Notamacropus eugenii: one gene and its partner. The protein of the gene in region 1 interacts with the protein of each later gene in a biochemical or structural test. Links are inferred from orthologs where the notes say so. Each region holds a gene or a part of one and is shown in the gene's direction. Other genes may lie near its edges.

Region 1 (10,639 bases):
TACAGCTAAACCTAGTTCTTTCACATAATTTTCCCCTGGTTTCCTTGAAATTCCTGATCCTCTGATCTTCCAAATGAATCCTGTTATTTTTTCTAACTCAGTAAGATAACTTTTGAGTAATTTAATTGGGATGGCATTACATAAATAAATTAGGTAAAACTGTCATTTAAAAAATTATATTTGCTTTGCCTATACATAAACAATAATTATTACCTCAATTATTTAGATCTAATTTTATTTGTATAAAAGGTGTTTTGAATATATATTCATATAGTTCCTGTGTCTGTTTTGGCAGGTATACACTAAAGTTACTGTCTAGTTATTTTAAATAGTACAAAACAATACGGAATTAAATTGTAGTCTCATTTTTCTCTTTTGATTAAATTTATTTTAGCTTCAACTTTGTCCAAGATCATGATTACTACCTGTTTTTTTACATAATAAATTCTACTCCTGATCTCTATTTTATGTTTGTGTGTATCATTTTAATAGCATTTCCTGAAAGCAATATGTTGTTGAATTCAAATTTTTAATCTGCTATCAGTTTCCATTTTATGGGTAAATTCATCCCATTCACATTCTAAGCTATAATTACTTGTATATTTTCCTTCTTCCTGTTTTTCCTCACTATCCTTTCCACCCTCTTCCTGTGACCCTCTTCACTCCTCTACTTTATTTCTACCTGCTACCCTTCCCTCCTATTCTTTAACCTAACCCCCCATGAATCCCCTCCTTGTCTTCTCCCTCCTCCCCCGACCTATCCCTTGGCCCTCTTGTTTCTTTCTGAATTTAGAAGACTTTTAAACATACATACATACATAGATACACATGCTATATGTGTGTATACACATACATTTCCCTCTTTACCTCATTCCTGTTAATCTACACACCCTTCTATAACTGACCTTATCCTGTTCCTTCACCCTCTTATTTCTTCATAAATTTAGAAGACGCATATTCTTCTAAATGTTTATGTTGTCCTCTCTTTAACCCAGATCTGATGTGGGTAGGGCTCCAGCACTACCAGCCCCACTCCCCCATCTGATTCCTCTGTATCAGTGCTTCTCTCGCCTTTCATTTGTATAAGATAATTACTCTTTTAATGTTTCCCCATATTTGGCTTTTTGGAATCACATCATACTCAACTCTACCTCAATCTTTCTTTCAAACTACCCAATTATTAATGGCAATCTTATGCATACAGTTTATATTTCCACATATAAAAAGAAAACAATTTGTCCTTATTATGTACCTTATAATTGGTCTCTGATGTTTACCTTATATTTTTCCTGGATCTTGTATGTTAAATTTTCTAATAAGTTATGGTCTTTTTGAGACAAAATCCTGAAAGTCTGCCAATTCATTGAATAGCCATTTTCTTTTTGTTCAGGATTACACTTAGCTTTGTTGGGTGTGATATTTTTGGCTGTAACCCCAATTCTTTTCTTTTTTGATATATAGTGTTTCAAGAACTGTGATCTTTTAATTTAGCCACTAATTCTAATTGTGGCTCCACACAATTAGAATTTTGTTTTTCTTGTTACTTGTAATATTTTCTCCTTAACCTGGGGATTTTGGAATTTGGCTATGATATTCCTGTAGGTTTTCATCCTGGGATCTCTTCCAGGTGGTAAAAAGTGGATTTTTTTTTTCTATTTCTACTTTCTTGTTCTAAGACTTTAGGGCAATTTTATTTGATTATTTCTTGTATTATTGCATCAGGATTCTTTTTTTTGATCTTAGCTTTCAGGTAGTGTGATTATTTTTATTTTTTCTCTTCTTGATCTGCTCTCCAGATCAGCTGTTTTTTTTATGAGATGTTTCACATCCTCTTCTATTTTTCATTCTTTTTATTTTGCTTTATTATTTCTTGGTCTCTTATAACACTGTTGGCTTCCCCTTGCCCAATTCCAGTCTTCAAGGAGTTGATTTCTTCCTTCAGATTCTGGATCTCTTTTTCCTTGGCTGACTTTCTTTTCATAATCTTCCTGGAATTCTTGGATTGTTCTTATTCTTTTTAAAAACAATTTCTGTAATTTCTCAGATTCGATTTTTAAAGTCTTTTTTGAATCCTAAGAATTCTTTTTGGGCAGGTGACCATTTGATGTTACTCTGTGAGGTAGGAGAGGCTTTTTTGCTTTGGTATCCTCCTCTGAAGATGAAGCCTGGTCCTCTCTCTTCCCATTGTAACTGTCTATAGTTGGGTTCTTTCTCCTTTGCTTCCTCATTTTTGTTTTGTTTTATTTTTAACAGCTTGTTATTATAATCACCTCTAGTCCTGGGGTGTGGGGGATGGTGTCTCTGGTCCCTCTTACTATTGTTTTTTGAAATTTGTCCTGTGCCCAAAGTCTGCACTCCTTTCCTGCTCCAAACCACAGCCAGGCACCCCTATGCACACTATGCTGGAAATGCACTTGCTCTTTGTGGACCCTCCAGTGGCTATATAACCTCCAGTTCTCCCCTCTGGCCTAGAATCACAACCAAGAACTTGGCTTTCCTGTAAGTGCTCACAAACAGCAGCATCCTACCTCACTGCTTCTGCATTAACAGGTCGCTGCTGGTTTCTTCCCACCCAGGACCATGTCTTGGTAGCATAATTGGGCCTGGAGTCCCTTAGCAGCAGAAGTTCCTTCAATCTTTCCTTACTAGGATGTCTGACCCCTCTCCTCCCCCGCCCTGCTATCTGTGAGGTGAGAATGCCTGTGACTGAGGCTGGGGCCACCTCTCAACCCAGCTGTCACCAAGGCTTTGTGGATTGTTGTTTCAGCAGAGACATTCTAGAGGTGTTTACACTTCACTCAGGTAGAACCTCCCAACCTCAGTCCTGCAGTCTTTCTTTGGATCTTCTCTAGTTGTCCCAGGAAGACCACTGATCTGCCCCAATCTCCTGTTTATTTTTGCCACTCTTATGTTCACCCTGAGGTACTGTTTTGTTTTGTTTGTGGAGGAAATCTGGAGAGCTTGGAATTTTCAGACCTACTCTGCCATCTTCCCAAGATCCTCTCCTTGCATTTCAGCGGAAGGCAAACATCATGGGTTGCCAGTGAGATGCAGCAGTTAAGAAAACTCTTGCAATCTTAAACTGGATGAAGACAGGCATCCATGGAGGGGTAAAGAAAGAGGTGAGAGTCTCCTTATGCTCTGCCCACCCCAGGCCACTATAATCATCATCATAAGACAGTGCTCTAAGGTTTGTAAGAGGCAAGGGCTGTTATTACCCCCATTTGAAAGATGAGGAAACTGAGGCAGACAGAGGTGAAGTGATTTGTCCATAGTGGCACAGCTCATAAATGTCTACGGCTGGATTTGAATTCAGGTTTCCCTGACTCCAGGCCTGGTGCTCTGTGCACTGTGGTGTCTCCCTAGGAGACAGTTCTGGTGTGATGTTTTTGGAAGGAGCCTGACAAGCTGGAGAGCATACAAAGAGGGCACGGAGGATGTTGAAGGCTCTTGAGCGTATGCCATGAAGCAACAGTCTGAAGATACTGGAGACAGTTAACATGCCTGGGAGAAGAGTGGGGTAATGGAAGATTTGTCTCCAAGAACTTGAAGGCTCTTCAGTGGAAGCTGGCAGATGCGGGGCCCAAAGGCACAAGTCACCAGAGGCCTTTATGCTAATTGTGGGGAAAGCCTCCCACCCAATGAGAACTGCTCCAGGGAAGTGCCTGTTGTACCTGGGCTATGGCTGCCCCTTCTGTGGGGGCCTTCCCACACAGGCTACACCCCGCCCCCTCATCCAGTCTTGGCCAGACATCAGTTGCTGTGCTGGACAGCCCCCAAGGGTCTTCTGGCTCTGTGTCCTGGTGCATCTCTGAACTTTCCTCATGGGGCCAAACAGCTATCTTCTGATGCTGTTGTGTGAATGGAGGAACAGACAGCCAGCCAGTTCTGCTGCCTGGCAAAGTCAGGGAGATCCAGGAAGCCACAGAGCAGGAAAACCAATCATATCAACCATGGAGGGGGTTGGAGGGGGAGGTGCACAGGGCAACGAGGGCCAGACTTGGCATCAGGAAGACCTGGCTTGGATCCTGTCTTCAATGCTTCCCAGCATCTGGGACCTGACTCAGTTAACTTACCGTTAACCTTCCCATCTCCATAAACACTCGTTGGACTTTGCTCACAGGTTGTTGTGAGCATTTGGCTAGGTTAGAAAGCAGCTTACCAGATATAAGCCTCGGCTCAGTGGGGTCAGCAGGGTCTTGTAGGCTTCGTTCACCATCGTGGAATGCTGTTCTGAGAAGTCCCTCTCAGTCTGTCAGCAGGAGAGGAAAGAAGCTGTTGTTATGGGCCCCCAAGGAGCACTAATGCCGTCAAAAATCCAATAAACATTTATCAAGGGGCCACTATGTGTGTGGTATGATCCCTGGTCTTAAGGAGCTCACTTCCTGCAAAACAAAAGATGTACTAGAAATGACCTCTGGGGATCTGTGCTATCCCATTCCCAAGCTCAATCTTGGGGCTGCCTACTGTCATCTTATATAAGTGGCTATAGTCAGAAATAAAGTATCCATACACAATGGAGGAGGGTGTCTCTGCACACTGATTTTCACGCTGTCCATCCCCTTAATTATTGTGTAGCAGTGCTCAGAGAGAGCAGGCAAGAGCACAGGTGATCAGAGCTGAGCTGACCTCACTGTTCAAAGCCCAAGTCTGGGGGAAGCCTTTCGATGTCACCTTCAAAGTGCAAGAGAAAGTTTGCTGAGGGGTGAGATTTCAGCCAGGGGCCATTGGGGTCCTGGAGCCTATGACCGCTGTGAGGCCAGAGGTCACCGTCTCAACCCCTGCTCACCTATTGATTAGCTGGAAGCCCATTACTTCCTGTCTCTGGACGTCTCTTCCAGCTCTAACTGCTGTGAACATGTGAAACCCCCAAGGTGAGTGCTGGAAGCCCTGCACCACTACCTGTGACTTCTGGCTGAAGTTATCAGGGTGGACCAGGCGCTGGAGGTGCTGGTATCGACGCTTCAGATTCTGGACATCCACTGTGAAGGAATGGCCACTGGAGAGGAAGGTGGGAGAGGGCAGGACTGAATAGAGAGCCCAGAGAGCAACCTCTCAGGAAACCAGTTACCAGCTATGTCTGTATGCCATCATTAGCCCTTTGGGGTGCCTTGCATATAGTTGGCACTAAATAAATGCTGGTTTAATTGAAATGAAACACAAAGATTGGCTTAAGTAGGGAACCTGTGAGATCAGGTCAGAGGACCTGGGTTCCAGTCCCAGTCTCCACCCTGCCCCATCACTTTGGACAATTACTAGGTTAGGTTTGCGGGAGGGGAGAGGTTCTGACCTGGCCTCTCCAGGCCTCCTTTGGGGTCATTCCGTGTCATTCCTGCACCTGCTTCCCTTGCGTGGGGTTCTAGCATAAGCTTGCAGCTCAGCACACAGAGGGGCTACCACAAGGCCCCGCCCCCAATCCATCAAGCTCCAGGCCCCGCCCCCTGCGTCAGGCCCCGCCCCCTACCCCCCCCCCCTCCCCCCCCCCGGCCTCCTCCCCCGTTTTAGGCCCCACTGGCTCTATGTCCCGCCCCTTGGAGGCTGTGGCGCCTCCAGGCCCCGCCCCCTGCCCCCCTCCCCCTCTTTTAGGCCCCACTGGCTCTATGTCTTGCCCCTTGGAGGCTAGGGTGCCTCCAGGCCCCGCCCCCTGCCTGCCCTCCTGTTGGGTCCCACGAGCTCCATGTCCCGCCCCCTAGAGGCCTCAGTGCCTCCAGACCCCGCCCCCCCGCCAGCCCTTTTGTTCCCAGTCCCCTCCTCCACAGGGAAGCCCTCACCAGTCCATGAGGCGGAAGAAGTCTGGGTCGGGGCTGGGCGGTTGCAGCGCTTGGCAGGCGGGACAGAATTGCGGATCTCCGCCTGCGTGCGCCCCCTGGCCGCCGCAGTTCCAGCAGCAGGGGGCGCCCGTGGGCGCTGAGGCTGCGTTGCCGCGGCCGCTGCTGCAGGGCCTCCCCGGGGCCCCCCATACCCTGCATAGGGCCCGGGCTGCGCCCCGCCACATCTGACTCACGACGACACCGGCCCCTTGCCTAGGTCACCCCACAGCCGGCTCTGGGCGGTGGGGGTGGGCTGCGTTCTGGCTCAAATGCAGCCAATTGATTGGTTGCTGGAACTCGGAGGCGGAGTTTCGGGCGGAGGTGGGCGGGGCGGGAGGGCCTAGAGTCCTGAGGTCTCGTGCGGTGAGGTCTTCTCAGACTACAAGGCCCAGCAGGTCTTGCGGCATGACCTTTCCGTATCCGGCGGGCTTCTAATTGGTCGAAGAGAAGCTCTGTGTCTCTTTCGGATCGCTGATTGGTGGGGTTTGTACCTGTGCCTTTCGCGCGAGCCTATGCCTCGGGCTCGGGAGCTCAGTGCAGGTCTGGCAGAGCAGGGAGCGGGCTGAGTCAGGATCCTGCGGCTGGTGCCCTGGGACCGGCCTTCCTTCTCCCGGTGAGCCGACTCGTGGCCACGGTGCCCCCGCCGCCTCCCACATCAGAGCCAGGCCTCAATCTGACCGTCTCCCGCTGACCCGGGCTGGCCGGCCATTGGCTCCGTCCTCTCCTGCCCGCATGCGGGTGCTCAGCCTGCATCCTCCGGCTGCGCTGCCACTTCCCGGAGGGCCAAGCCGAAGGGCGGTCCTCGCCCTGGGCCGTGCCCGAGCGCCTGTGGAGCGAGGCAGGGGGCAGGGCGCGGGGGCCCGGGGGGCATGGGGGGGGAGACCGAGAAAGAGGAGGGAGGGAGGGAGAGAGAGGGAGAGGGAGAGGGAGAGGGAGGGAGAGAGAGAGAGAGGGAGAGAGAGAGGGAGAGGGAGGGAGAGAGAGAGAGAGGGAGAGAGAGAGAGAGAAAAGGGAGGGAGGGAGAGAGAGAGAGAAAAAAAGGGAAGGAGGGAGAGAGAGAAAGAAAAGGGAGGGAGGGAGAGAGAGAGGAGGGAGGGAGAGAGAGAGAAAGAGAGAGAGAAAAGGGAGGGAGGGAGAGAGAGGGAGAGAGAAGGGAGGGATGGGAGGGAGAGAGAGAGAGAGGAGGGAGGGAGAGGGAGAGAGAGGGAGAGAGAGAGCTTGAGCCCTCGGGGACATCGGGAGAGACCCGGCGGTCAGGGAGGACCCAAGTTCAGCCATCTGTCTGTCCTTGGCCAGACTGGTCTAGAGGGATGCAAACAGATGGAGCTGAAGTGTTTGAGAAGCTGCCCTGGAAGATGACTTTGGGGCTAGGCCTTGTGCCCGACCAGGTGGGGGGAGTAGGGCCTCTTAAAAATAATTTGCATTTTTCTGGTGCTTTAAGATTGAAAAAGTCTTTTTTGCTAAATGGGCTCTGCAGACCCCTTGCAGCTGAGTCTTTCTATGTTCTCGAAGGCTTGGAGAGCTTGAAAGAAGTGCTTGTATTGGCTTCATCATTAAAGGGTTCCAGGGCCCTGCGGTCAGAAAATCAGTGTAAAAGGGACTTAGCATGTAGTAAGGGCTGGGCGCTGCTGGATCCGCCCCAAGGAGCTTCTCCTGCTTGGGAGATGTCCAGGTACCATGAAATACAAAGTAGAGGCAAAGTAAGGTGTGGAGGGTAGGGGGGGGATGGGGTGTTAGGGAATGAAAGACCCAGCAGAGCTTCCCCTGGGAAGGGAGCTGGGGAGTTTATGGAGCACATGGCAGTGAGGAGAGCATTCCAGGGATGGAAGGTAGCTTGGGTCAAAGCCCAGCAGTAGGAAATGGAATCTGAAGATAAATCTGAAGGATAAATCAGCCAGTTTGGCTAGGCTGTAGAGGCTTAGTGAATGGAGAACCAGGTCTGGAGGCAGGAAGACCTGAGTTCAAATCCAGCCTCAGGTATTTGGCCCTGGGCAAATCACCTTACTTTAGTCTGGCTTAGTTTCCTCATCCGTGAAATGGGGATAATCATATCTACCACTGTCCACAGTTGTTTTGAGGATAAAATGAGTTACTCTCTATAAAGTGCTTTGCAAATCTTAAAGCATGGTAGAAATGCTAGCGATCTCTATTATGATTTGTTATTACTGTTCTTATGGTACTAGTGCTAAGTTTACATGACTAATCCCAATTCCAAGTCCTAAGAAATTTAATTTTACAGTTTTTGTTTTGCTTGAATAGTTTCTTTTTTTGTCTGTATTTGGATGCTAGACTTTGACAGTTGCACCTCTCCCACCGCAATAACTATCCAAGTCTGGGGCACCCAGACTCATATTTGCTGCTTTTCCCTTTCTTTTGAAGCAAAGATGTCCCGCGAGACAGGAGGTGACTCACAGCAGTCACATAGCGCCTCCCAGTCCCAGTCCCAGAATGCTTCCGGCTCCTCCTCCTCTGGTACCTCCCACAGTCAGTCCTCCCATTCCAGCTCAGGGACCATCAGTTCCTTAGACACTGTACCTACTCAGGACCTTCCTTCCATTCCTGAGGATCAGGAACCAGAAGAACTCAACCCTCAGCCCTGGGGTCGGCTCTGGGCTCTCGAGGATGGATTCTCTAACCTTGGTAAGACCATAAGACTAAAAAGTGTGACTGGGGCAGAGCAGAATTTTTATTTAGTAGAGAATTTTTTTTTTAAATATGTTCTCCAAAACTTTGTGCTAGGTTCCTACTACTTTGGGAGGGATTTGGGGATAAGACTGTGAGCCTATTGGACAGAATCTGTAGTGTCATTGTAAGTTTCCCTGGTGTGGGAGGACCATTAGCCTGACAGCTGTGATTCTTATTCCAGAGATAGCTGCTGTAAATGATGGTCAGCATGTCCATGTGGTAACTTAAAGGGTGGATGTGTTACTTTGTCCTTTAGGTAATAGGGAACCATTGAAAGGTTTTGATCAGGAGAGTGATATGTTGAGAACCGTGTTGAACAGAACCAGGTAAATTAGAGTGGGGAGAGACTGAAGTTAGGGAGGCCAGCTTTTAGCTGGTAGTGGTTGAGTCATCCAGCTCAAGGAGATCAAGGGATGAGGGCTTAGATGAAAAGGAAGGATACCTACACAGCCCTTGCTAGGGAGTGTCTGTCTGCCTGGGGAAGTAGGAGGGAAAGGAGAAGGACAGATGAAAGATGAGTTTGATCAACTTTGAGCATAGATGTTTGAGAAAATGGCGGTCATCATTGCCTTTTTGTTGTAAGAGCAGCTAGGTGGTGCAGCAGGTACAGTGCTGAGCCTGGAACCAGGAAGACCTCAGACCTGACTAGACGGGTGACTCTGGGCAAGTCACTTCACCTCTATTTGCCTTCGTTTCCTCAACTGTGAAATGGGGGTCACAACAGCACCTCCCTCCCAGGGCTGTGGTGAGGATCAAATGAGATCATATATGCAAAGTACCTGGCACATAGTAGGTGTTTAATAAAGCATTTCCTTCCAGTTGGGCTATGTGGTGGTTAAACGATGGTTTCTGTTTTTGACCTAGAGAGAGTCAGTGTTTTCATCAGTAACCATTGTCCCGTGGCAGATCCCAGCCCACCTAGGGTTGCAGGGCTCAGTCTCTGTGGCCTGAGCCTGAGATAGATGAGGGGATTGGCCCCTACCTAGCCAGGCCATCTGCCCTGAGGTTTACACTTAAGTTCCTCATTCCTTCCCCTTTGTCTGCCTGCCTCCCAATAACAGTAACCCACACTGGTGGCTGCTCTTGAATAGGGCTTTTCCCACTATGCCCTCTAAAACTGGCAGACATTTTACATTTGAAAAAGCCAAGGTTTAGAAAAGGGAAATGAAAAGCTTGGATAGGACCCAGGCTACCTCAGTCTGGCCTTTCCTGGTACCAATGGACTTTGGGACATTAACTTGAAGTAAGAGGCCCATTAAAAATGGAATAGGTATGGGGGAGGGGGAAAGAAGAGGGAGACAATGTGTGGGGGAGGGTAGAGTAGAGGTGGGAAGACTGGGCCTTGGGGGAAACAATTATGCTTAGGAAGTTGGAAGAGAAGGTGTAGACATCAAAGAGGACTGGAGGTTTGTGTGTAGAGGTTCTTTGTCTTGGGATCCAGGGAGAAGAGAACTTCTTAAAGGAAGGGTGGGTGATAAGATGGAAGGGTCATTGCTGCTCAGAGATCTGAGTTGTCAGAGCCAAGGAAAGGGTGAAGGGGTCCAGGAGGTTGTGCTTGTTTAAGCAAGGTGGTGCAGGAGATAGAGCACTGGGCCTGGAGGCAGAAGACCTGGGTTCCAAGTCAGCCTCACACATGTAGTAGCTGTGTGATCCTGGGCGATCATTTAATAACCTCTGTCTGCCTCAGTTTCCTCATTGGTAAAATGGGTATAGTTACAGCGCTTCCCTTCCAGGGTTGTTGTAAAGATCGAAGGAGATAATAATTGTAAAGCACTTAGCACAGTACCTGGTATACAACAGGCACTACATGAGTGTTGATATACCCATTGCTTAGGTACATGATGATAGAACTGATAAGGGGAGATGTAGGAAAGAGCTGAGGGGGCGTTGGGACTGAGCCAAGGCTTCTTTCTACACTTCCGTGTTCTTGAAGACAAGGGCCCAAGAAGCCAGAGATTGGGGGAAGCCCAGGTGAGGCCGCCCTCACAGACAGGACCCTGGGCAAGGTTGGCAAACTTTCATTCCTCCAGCTGCTGTCCATGGGGCCGTTTACCACCATCCACACACCTTGGCTTATGTCAGTGCATTGAACACAGGATTTTGCCCCTCCCCAGGAGGGGCCCATGGTCTCCTAGCTCATAAAT
Region 2 (10,540 bases), on another chromosome or scaffold:
CCAAAAATTCTATATGTCCACTGATGTCTTTCTTGGTAACCTGATCCAAAGACAGTTATTTCTTCATCAGAAAACTCCTTGTTCATATCCTTTGACCGTTTGTCAACTGGCAAATGATTCATATTCATATATGTTTGACAAAGTTCTTTATAAAATTTAGATATGAGAACTTTATCTGATAAACTGGCTTTAATTTTTTTTCTAATTTTCTACTTTCCTTCTGATCTTGGCTTTGTTTTATTTACACAAAATCTTTTTAATGTAATGTAATCAAAATTATCCGTTTTATACCTACCTTTGCACTTTATCTCTTGTTTATTCATAAATTGTTCACCTATCCATGAGTCTGCTAAGTAATATGTTCCATGTTCTTCTAATTTTCTTGTAAAATCTCTCGTTATATCTAGGCCGCACATCCATTTTGACATTATCCTGATAAATAGCATAAGATATTGGTCTATGCCCAGTTTTTTTTTTTCATTTTATTTTTCAGTGAAAGGAGCAGAACCAGGAGAACTTTGTGCACAGCAACGACCACAGTGTGCGAGAGTTTTTTCTGGTAGACTTGGAATTTTGTAATAACGCAAAAACTTCTTATAAAAAAAAAAAAATCCCAAAGGTGGTTCTCAAGGCAAAATGCCTTCCACACTCAGAGAAAGAAATATGGAAGTCATTCACAAAATGTAGCAGATCATGTTTGTGTATGTGTATGTGTTTGTGTATCATGTTTTGATTTGTTATAGGATTTCTTTCATTTATTTTAGTCTGACTACATAGCATGACTATAGTGAAAATGTACTCAATAGGAAAGCATATGTAGAACCTATACAGAATTGTATGCAGTCGTGGGGAGGGAGGGGGGTAGTGGGGGGTAGGTGTGGGGGGGATAAAATCTCAATTGTATGGCAGTGATTGTTAAACATTAAAAAATAATTTTAAAAAAGACTAAAATAAAAAAAACAATTTATTTTTCATTTTTAACACAGTTTATAACAGATAAAACAATTCAAGCTTTTGGTCAGGTGATACTTCTTTTTAAAGCATTTACAATATGGACCACAAAAGAATTTTTTAGACATTAACCAACTGAGACACAAATAATATTTTATGTTGCTAACTTCACACTCTCTTGACCTAATTGTCTCCAGAGTATTAGTAAGAATTAAAGGACCCTAATTTATTGTTGTTGGTCTAAAGTCCTAAGTCTAATAGCTTAATTTTAGACTTAACCTCGGATGTTCCCCTACCAATAATCTATAATTGAATAGATCTGGTATTAAGCTTACAAACCTTTTGACTATAGGAAATTGCCATCAAGAGTAGGGGCATTGCAGGGATATAATATCTCCCCAACTTCATGTCAATTTCAGGCAGGAGTAGATTGTCCACTTGCATTCAGTCAGGCTTCAAGTCTACCAGGTGTCAGTGGAGAAACTGAGTCAGGAGAATCCTACCTCAGCCCAGGCTGAACAGCCGCTCTCCCACCCTTCCCTTGAGATCACCTATGCAGTTCATACCAGCATCTCACCAGCTTACTGGCATCATGGATTGGAGGCTCAGACCGCCTTTCTTGCTATCCATATCTGCAGTCAGACTAAGAAGAACAGTCGCTAAATAGTCCCATAGCATCTAAAAATGGCAAGTTCCAATAACCAGGTTTCAAACATGATTATAATTCCACTTTGGCTAAGGAACATCTTTTGAGGCAAGTCTTAAGTGGCTTACACGCCTTTCTATACATGTTCTAGTTCCTGATTAAATAGAAATCATAAAATCAAATTTAAAACCTTAACTCTATGCCCAGTTTCTACCATACTGCTTTCCAATTTTCCCAAAAATGTTTACCAAATAATGAATTCTTATCCCAAAATCTTAGGTCTTTGCATTGGTCAAATATAAAGTTATTGGGTTGATTTCTCCCTGTAAATTGTATGTCTGCTCTATTCCATTGATCTACCTTTCTATTTCTTAGCCAGTACCACATAATTTTGATAGTGACTGCCTTATAATATAGTTTGAGATCTTCCTTCCTTAACATTTTTTCATTATTTCCTTTGATATTCTTGACTTTTTGTTTTTCCAAACGAATTTTGTTATGATTTTTTCTAATTCAGTAAAAAAAATTTATGGTACTTTAATTGGGATGGCATTGAATATGTACATTACTTTGAGTAAAATTTTTATCTTTTTTATAATATTGGCCCTGCCTACCCATGAACAATTAATATTTCTCCAATTATTTAAAGCTGATTTTATTTATATAAAAAGTTTTTTTATAATTTGGTTTATATGATTCCTGGGTTTGTTTCAGCAAGTGTACTCACAGGTATTTTATGCTGTCTAGACTCTAGACTCTAGAGCTATTTTAAATGGGATATCTTTTACTATCTCATCTTACAGAATTTCATTTGTGACATATAGGAATGCTGATGATTTACATGGATTTACTTTAGAACTTGTTACTTTGCCAAAATTGTTCATTGTTTCAATTACTTCTTTAGTTGAGTCTTTGGGATTTGACATGATAGTTTCTAATTGCTATAAAAACAAACCCATAATGTTTCAAACATGCACATATATGTTATCACAAAGGAAAAAATATATTTGCAACACAACTGGGCAATTACTAACTGCTTAAGGTGATATTAAAGATTTTGTTTTACACCTGGGACCATCATCACAAACCACTAAATGGGAAATAGGAACTACTAGACTAGATGACTTTAAGGCAACACCATTTCCATAGTAGAAGCTAGATAAAAGTTTACTTTTATCTTTACTTTTACTTTACTATCCCTCTGATCTTAAATTAATAGGATCATAGGATTAAGAGCTAGAAAAACCTTTGTAATTATCTGATCACATCTTGAACTAGATATTCCTTAAACACCCTAAACTCATCATGTAAAACGAAGGTTTTATTTTTTATTTTTTTATTATTTTATTTGTTTTCAGTGTTCTACAATCACTTCCATATATCTTAGATTTTTCCCCTCCCTCCCTTCTCCTCCTATCAGGTTTTATTTTTTTTTAATGAATTTTTATTATTTTTTTTGTTTTGCCCAATAGCTAGATATCTCCCAAGGCTCTAAACTGAGTCCTCTTCTCTCTACACTATTTCTCTTAAAGATCTCATCAGCTCCCATAGATTCAATTGTCTCTATGCAGATGATTCTTAGATTTACTTATGCAGCCCTAAGCGCTGTCCTGACTTCTAGTCTCTCATTTCTACAGTGTGTTTGTCCTTCATTGTCGGAGACCATGCCATCAGAGAAATGATTTCTCTGCCTGTTGGACATCTAGATGTCCTGTAGATAACTTAAACTCAACATGTCTAAAAATGAACTTGTTGCCTTTTTTCTAAAACCTTCCCCTTTTCCTAACTTTCCTATTTCTATAAATTACTGTTACTACCCTATTACTTTAAAGTTTACTGCTACTACCATCTTCCCAATCACTCCAGCTCACAAACAACCTAGGTGTTATTGTTACTCCTCTCTCTCTCTCTCTCTCTCTCTCTCTCTCTCTCTCTCTCTCTCTCTCTCTCCCTCCCTCTCTCCCTCTCTCCCTCTCTCCCTCTCTCCCTCTCTCCCTCTCTCCCTCTCTCTCTCATTCTATATTCAATCTGTTGCCAACTCCTATTTTTACTGATTTTACCTTTATGGTCTCTTGTATATCCCCTTCTGTCCTCTGACACTGACACTGATGAGGTGCTTGTGCTTGGACCCCAAATTCAAGATCACATTTCTCCCTAGTTTCAAAACACTATCCCTGACAGTTTTCTTGAGTGGGCCCACCTAAGACAAACTACCTTTCCCCTCAATTACTCATGGGTGGGCCCCAGTAAGACAAACTATCTTTCCCCATTACAAGAACAAGCTGACCTCTGAAGAAATTCCCTTGTAAAAACAGGACTCTCTTGTAACCACAGAATTATCATGTATTGATTCCCACAGTTATCATATACAATCCAGAGATCAAGCTATAGACATCAACTCTCAAAGCTATCTTGCCACAGACACAATAGACCAAAAATACACCTCCTAGAAACTCCTTCCTCTAGTATCCAGTAATGAATGACTCCTGTGACCAAGGTTGTATGTTATCACTTTCTGCCAGATAATCCACTACTTTTCCTAAATAAGCTTTAGCTCACTCCTGTTAAGTTGCGGAGTTAGTTCCTTAAGGAGCTCTGCCTACCATATTGGCATTACAATAAACCTTTGTCAACTTGACTTAAAGAATGCTTGAGTCCATGAATTCATTCTAGATGACCCTTTCGGGTACTTCAGTCCTTGAGGGGTCCCTGAACCTCTAAAACCCACATTAGCACCACCCTGGTGAAAACCCTCATTACCTCATGCCTGAACTATTGCAGTGCCCTGCTGGTTGGTCTCCCTGCCTCACTTTTCATCCTCCATTCAACTTCCAAAGAAAACTTCCTGAAGAACAATTCTGATCATACCCCTCCTCCCTCCATACACACATATACATCCAATTTAATAAATTCCCGCGCTTCCCTATCACCTCCAAGATCAAATATAAAATCTTCTGTTTGGCTCTTAAACCCCTTGATAACCTGGCCTCTTCCTGTTTTTCTAGTTTTCTTTCATCATACTCCTCTCCATATATTCTGTGATCCATTGACACTGGCTTCCTTACTGTTCCTCTCATAAAACTCAGTCATTTTCACTGATTGTGTCCAGGTCTGGAACTCTCTTTGTCCTAGTCTCCACCTCCGGGCTTCCTTCAAGCTTCACCTAAAACCCCACCATTTGCATGAAGCCCTCCTTGATCTAATACTTTCCCTCTGGTATCATCTACAACTTATCCAGCGTTTCTTATTTGCATATGCTGTACATTGTCTCTACCTTTAAATTGAGCTGCTTGAGGGCTCAAGCAGAGATTGTCTTTTACCTTCCTTTGTATCTCAGGCACTTAACACAATGCCTGGCACACGTTGTTAGTCATGCCCAACTCTTAGTGAGCCTGCGGACCATAACGCAACAATGCCACACATTCCTGGCAAGGATACTGGAGTGGTTTGCCATGTTATCCTCTAGTGGACTAAGGCAAACAGAGGATAACTGCCCAGGGTCACACGACTACTAAGTTTCCAAGTGCAGATCTGAACCCAGGCCCTCCTGACTCCAACGCCCAGCCTGAGGTCCTTGATAAAGAACTGTTTGTTGACTCAACGCTGACAGTTAAGTGGCAGAGCCAGATTCTGACTTGGGTGCTGAGAGCCAAAGCCGGGGTTGACTCCACTACATTATGAGGTCCCTCTGGACTCCACATTTTATTCAAAACCTCTAGAGTGTGGAAACGCAGGCCCAGAGCTGGCTTTTGTCCTACAAGTGGCTTTCTGCCTGCCCTTGGCCAAAGGGCCCAGGCCTCCTCCAGCTCAGGCATTCCTTGGGCTTGTTTTCTGGGGGTCTCCAGGGACTCCCCCACTTTGTTAGAACTTTGTCTTTATCCAAAGCATGGCTGAGTACTTCTTCAGCTGCCAGGCTGCTGGGGGCAGGGGAGAAGGCTCCTCCCTGTGGGCTCCAAGGCCCACATGCTTCTGACAGCAGAGCCAGTGACCAAAGCAAGAGATGCCCCCACCCCTCATCTTTACAGCCATCTTATGGTCATCCAAGAGCAAAACATCCTCGGGCCAATGTGGAAATTAAACTTCTAGGCTGCCAGGGAGGCGTAGAGAGAAAAAAGAGAAATCCAAGCTAGCGGCCACGAGGAACTACAACTCCCAGAATGCAGCGTCAGTTCCGCCGGACTGGGCGGTTCCTTTGGCTAGCTTGCGTGGCATGCTGGGAGCCGCCGCTTCCACACATTGGATCTCATTCTCCTTCTCCTTGTTCGCCCTTCCCCCACCCCTACTTCCGCTTCTCGACTTTGGCCCCGCCTCCTCTAGAGAGGCTTAGTGACGGAGCGGGTCTCCGACAGTCTCCCCTCCTTGAATTTTTATTGGTTAAGCTCGGCTGCCGTTCAGGGGGTGGAACGGAGGTCCCGTTTTCTGATTGGTGGCTTGGGTTTGGCGCCAACTAGGAAAGGTGGGCGGGGCAGCAGCGGTACTCTGCGAGCGGCTCCTGCGACACCCCCGGGCAGCTGGGCAGGAGGTCCGCCGGGGGCTGCCGCGGTCCCGCTCCCCGCTCTCCGCCGCCGCCGCCGCCGCCGCGTCTGGGCCGATCGGGCCCGCGCCCCCGGCCCGAGGTCCGCCGGCCCTGCGCCCGCCCGGCTTGTTTGGGTTTAACCCTCGGCTTGGCGCGGCCCCGGAACCCCCGGCGTGGGCATCGCTCGCGGCCTGCCCTCGGGCCGTGTTTGTGTTTGACCGCGGGCCGGGCCCGCGCTCCGGGAGGCGGTGGGGGCGGCGCGGCGCGGGGCGAGGAGAGAAGAGAGGCGGCGCCGCCGCCGCTGCTCCGGATGGAGCTGGGCCCGGAGCCCCCGCACCGCCGCCGCCTCCACTTCGCCTGCGGCTCTCCGCCCGCCGTGGTCAAGGCCCTGTTCCCCGCCGGCCCCGGGGGGCTGTCCCCGGTCACCAACCTGGCGGTCACCATGGACCAGCTGCGGGGCCTGGGCAGGTGAGAGAGGCGGGGCGGCCTGGGCCCTCCCGGAGCCCCCCCGGCCCCGTCATTCCTGGGCAGCGCCCCCGGGGAGTGACCTTGGCCAAGTCACTGCCCCTCCTGGGTCTCGCTGGGCCGGCTCATCGCCCAGTCCGGGCTCCGAACCTATGCGGCACATACGTTCTGCCCCGTCGCACCTGCCCTCCTGCTCCTCATAACCACCCCTCCCTACAATGGGCTGATTTCCAGCCTCCTGTCCTTTACCCCACCTTCCTTCCCTCTTCCTTCTCCCCGCAGTGTGCACCATACTTCAGACTCCACAGTCCCCCCAACAACGTCCATTCTTCTCCAACCCCCCATCCTGCTCCCCTTTCCTTCACTCCACTGCCCCCTCCAGCCTTCCCCATCACCACCGCCTCCTCGTTCCGGCTCCTTCTCACCGCCTCCCTCATACCTCCATCTCCGCCAGCTCTCGGCTCCCCCAGCTTTCCCATGCTCTAAAGCCTCCCCACCCCTCTCTCTACAGGCCTTGAGCAGGGTCTCCAGGGGGAGCCTTCCGTTTCCGTCTTTTAGGCACATGGCTAAGTTAGCCACAGCACCTTGCCTGTGGCCCAGGCTCGGCCCCTGGCCTCCATGTTGCCAGGGGCCTGGGTGGTTCCGCAGCGCCCCAGTAGGTCTGAGAGATGCTTGGGAGGAGGCTGAACAGAAGGCTTGTCCCTCCTTAGCCACACCACCCTCTTGCTTCCTTGCCTTGGACTCCTTTCAGTTTCTGGAATACTAGTTTCCATTGTAACCTTGTTCTGAATTTCCCTCAAATAAGCATGCAACCCCACAAGAGTAAGGAGGTACTCCTTCTGGAGGTGGAGGGCCGGGGGCCTGGGTGGCATTAAGAGCTTTGAATCCCACCGGGCCTTAGGTGCTGTGCTGGAGAGGAGTTGTGGTTGCGGGAGGTGGTCCTTGTGGGACAGCAGGTAGGGCCAAAAAGCTGTTAAATAGCTTGATGTTTTCCCTCTGTCTCACGGTGACTCATAGTCCGTGGAGAAGAGGAGTTGTTCTTATCAGATTCCAAAACTGCATGTAAAGAATGGTTTGGTTTTGTGTGCAGTGAATGTGAGCATCAGCTGGAAACAAAGAAGAGCGGCAGCCTGCAGCGGACAAGCTCCTCAGAGTCTACAGATTCAGGTATTCTTTCATTCTACGCATAACAGATATTTGTTGTATGTGCCCACTGTGCTGGGGGAGGCCTTGGGAAGGAGACGAGATACAACAAGCCCCTCTTTTTCATGAAGCTTCTAATTTAATACAGGAGGCACATGTACATAAGTAATTGAAAGGTAAGACAGTATGTGATAAGTGCCATAGAAATAGTATAATATGAATTATTGCAGTGTCTGAAAACAGGTTAATTTTCAGTAGGAATAAATGGAGATTGGAGTAGAGTGACCCTCCAGACAAAGGGAATGAATGGTGTAATCAGAGGCTTGTTGAATGTTAAAGGAAGGTAGGAAAGGACAAGACAGGTCCTGGGAATAGTAAGTGGTTCATTTGGTTGAAGTGGGGGGGTATGTAGAAGAGTACCTGGAGGAAAGTTTGATTCTCTTCAGATTTCCAGTGTGCATGGTTATCTCTTACCACTTGGAAGGAGAAGAGGGAAGTGAAAAATGGTTTGAGGGTAAGTAGTATGCAGATTCCATTGTGACTGAATGCCCAGAAAATAAAAGTTGCCTGGGGGCTGGTGAGTCCAGGCTACTCCGAGGTTGGTATATAAATTATATTAAACCTCTAAGATCTTCTGTCTTTGGGGAGCAAGAATTCCTTGTTAGGTGCCATTTTCTTAAACATAAGTCAGAAACCTACCAGATCTCTTCGCAGTGGCTCTAATTTGTATTTGTTCCTGTTACCCATGGATAAATTGATCTGAATTAGAGATTGGTGCCTTTTGACCAGATGCAGTCTACTTGCAGCAGGGCTGATCAAGTACTTGCCATCTGAGAGGGAGATGACATGGATATTAACCATAAACCAGATAATCCCTACCTGAATACTCAGAAGATGGTTTAACAATTCATCTAGCCTACTTTTCCCTTAAGTCTTATTTCACTGATGGTAACTCCAGAGCAGAGGGAAGCATTATGTCTCCTTCAAAGGCAGCTAGATTGGTAAAGTAAATAGAGCTCTGGACCTGGGGTCAGGAAGACCTGAATTCAAGTCTGACCTCAGATGACCTTGAACAAGTCACTTAACCTCTGTCTGCCTCAGTATCTTATTTGTAAAATGGAGGTGATAATAATAGCACTTACCTCCCAGGGTTGTGGGATAACATGCCCTATATGAACACTAGCTTTTATGTCAGAATCCATGTAAAGTGCCGCCACACACCCCACTCCATACACACATACAACCTGAACCAATCTGGAGTCCGTCACTGTAGGCTGATTGCCTCAAAAAACAGATACTGAGTCTCAGGTAATTACAAACCATGTTCACCCTGAAGTTCCTGGGGTAGCCCACTGGCTTCTTAAAAGTTTGAAATGATTTCAAATGAGATGTTTAGAGTTAATAATAAAAGAAATTAAGCTATAAAAACAATTTACAAAACCTCTGGATCACAATGGCCGTGTAGTAAAGACTTTTTTTGTGCCCCAATAGGTTTTTGTCTGGATTCTCCTGGGCCCCTGGATAGAAAAGAAAAGTATGTATTTGCTTCTTTTAATTTTTTTTTTTAAATACCAAATGAGAATATTATTAGAATCCTGATTGACTAGGAATCTGGACTAAGATGTCCCACGTGAATGCTGTTGCACTCACTCTTGTTTTTTATCATACACTAGCTTACTTTAGTTTTAAGTGTAAGTATTCAAATCTCTCATGTTCCTGTCCTGTAGCATAATTCTTGCCTTTAAGGAAGGAATTCATAACCTGGGATCCATGAACTTTAAAAATATTTTTACCATTTTAAAAAATATATCTTGTTAAACTATTTCAATATTTCTTTGAGATCCTATTTATTTTATTTTGTGCATTTCAAAACCTTTTGAAAGGGGGTTCATAATCTTTGCCAGTTTGTAGAAGTGGTCTATAACATACAAAAGTTTTTAAACCCCAGCTTCATGGGAATGTGTTGAAGAGAATATTTTGTTCGAACCCACTTGGTTTCCCTAGAAGCTTAAAGTATTTTGGGTTGGGTGAATTTGGGAAAATGATGTTCTTTCTGCAGACATTTAGGTAAGTGGGTTTGCCTTAAAGGAAAGAATTGGTTGCCAATCAATGTTGAATTACTTAACTAACTTCATTTGCTCTCTGTTCTTATTGTAGCCTTGAAAAACCCATGAGGAGAATAAACTCCCTGCCAGTAAGTTCTTTTTCTTTCTTTCAGTATTACTGATCTGGAGCTTAAATTTTGTTGTGTTCACCAAGGATAATTTTGTAGGGAAAGAAGTGACCGTGTTACAAATTTCACTGCAAATAAATGTTTGCAGTTGGCAAAGAGCCATCTCATGTTCCCATAGAGAAAGGAAAAGAAGAACTTCTCATCCAAGAAATCTTCAACAGAAGTGGACGCCTAAGTCTTAGCCCTTTTTCACTTCTATTTACATGTGTTCTAGCTCAAACCAGAGGTGACTTTTCTTTTCCAATGAAATTATAGTACCTTGAATTGTCCAAGTAGAGAAGTCTGGGACGGTTATTACCAAGTATGTTTTTATCAAAACATAGAGAAGAAATTAATTTTCTCTGTTTTTTTTCCCTTGATAGTGGCCTAAAGATTATGAAATAACTGTTTAGATTATTTCTAGTTAGCTATGTTTTTCTTTGAATAGCTAAATTAAATAAGGAAACTTGACTGAAGCATCCATTACCCAACTGATGTCCAGTTTATTCTTATCACCTTTACAGCAGAAGCTCCTAGGGTGTAGCCCTGCCCTGAAGAGAAGCCATTTTGATTCATTTGACTGTGATATCTTTCAGCTAAGTGACCA

Evidence for each region.
Region 2: of the proteins of CHEK2 (region 1) and CDC25A, one has a biochemical effect on the other in vitro, tested with the Homo sapiens proteins (5 studies listed by BioGRID, with this or other methods). The link is inferred for Notamacropus eugenii from reciprocal best matches to the Homo sapiens genes CHEK2 and CDC25A.

The regions. Positions count from the first base shown.
Region 1 is NC_092875.1:17,008,882-17,019,520, forward strand, and holds the start of CHEK2 (serine/threonine-protein kinase Chk2), read left to right. Parts: upstream 1-6,339; 5' UTR 6,340-6,423; intron 6,424-8,189; 5' UTR 8,190-8,194; coding exon 8,195-8,450; intron 8,451-10,639. Other genes in the region: iron-sulfur cluster co-chaperone protein HscB, read right to left, coding at 4,163-4,252, 4,900-4,999, 5,772-5,995. UniProt on the Homo sapiens protein: Serine/threonine-protein kinase which is required for checkpoint-mediated cell cycle arrest, activation of DNA repair and apoptosis in response to the presence of DNA double-strand breaks.
Region 2 is NC_092872.1:13,381,943-13,392,482, reverse strand, and holds the start of CDC25A (M-phase inducer phosphatase 1), read left to right. Parts: upstream 1-6,348; 5' UTR 6,349-6,423; coding exon 6,424-6,581; intron 6,582-7,668; coding exon 7,669-7,745; intron 7,746-9,212; coding exon 9,213-9,255; intron 9,256-9,878; coding exon 9,879-9,915; intron 9,916-10,457; coding exon 10,458-10,540. UniProt on the Homo sapiens protein: Tyrosine protein phosphatase which functions as a dosage-dependent inducer of mitotic progression. Directly dephosphorylates CDK1 and stimulates its kinase activity. Also dephosphorylates CDK2 in complex with cyclin-E, in vitro.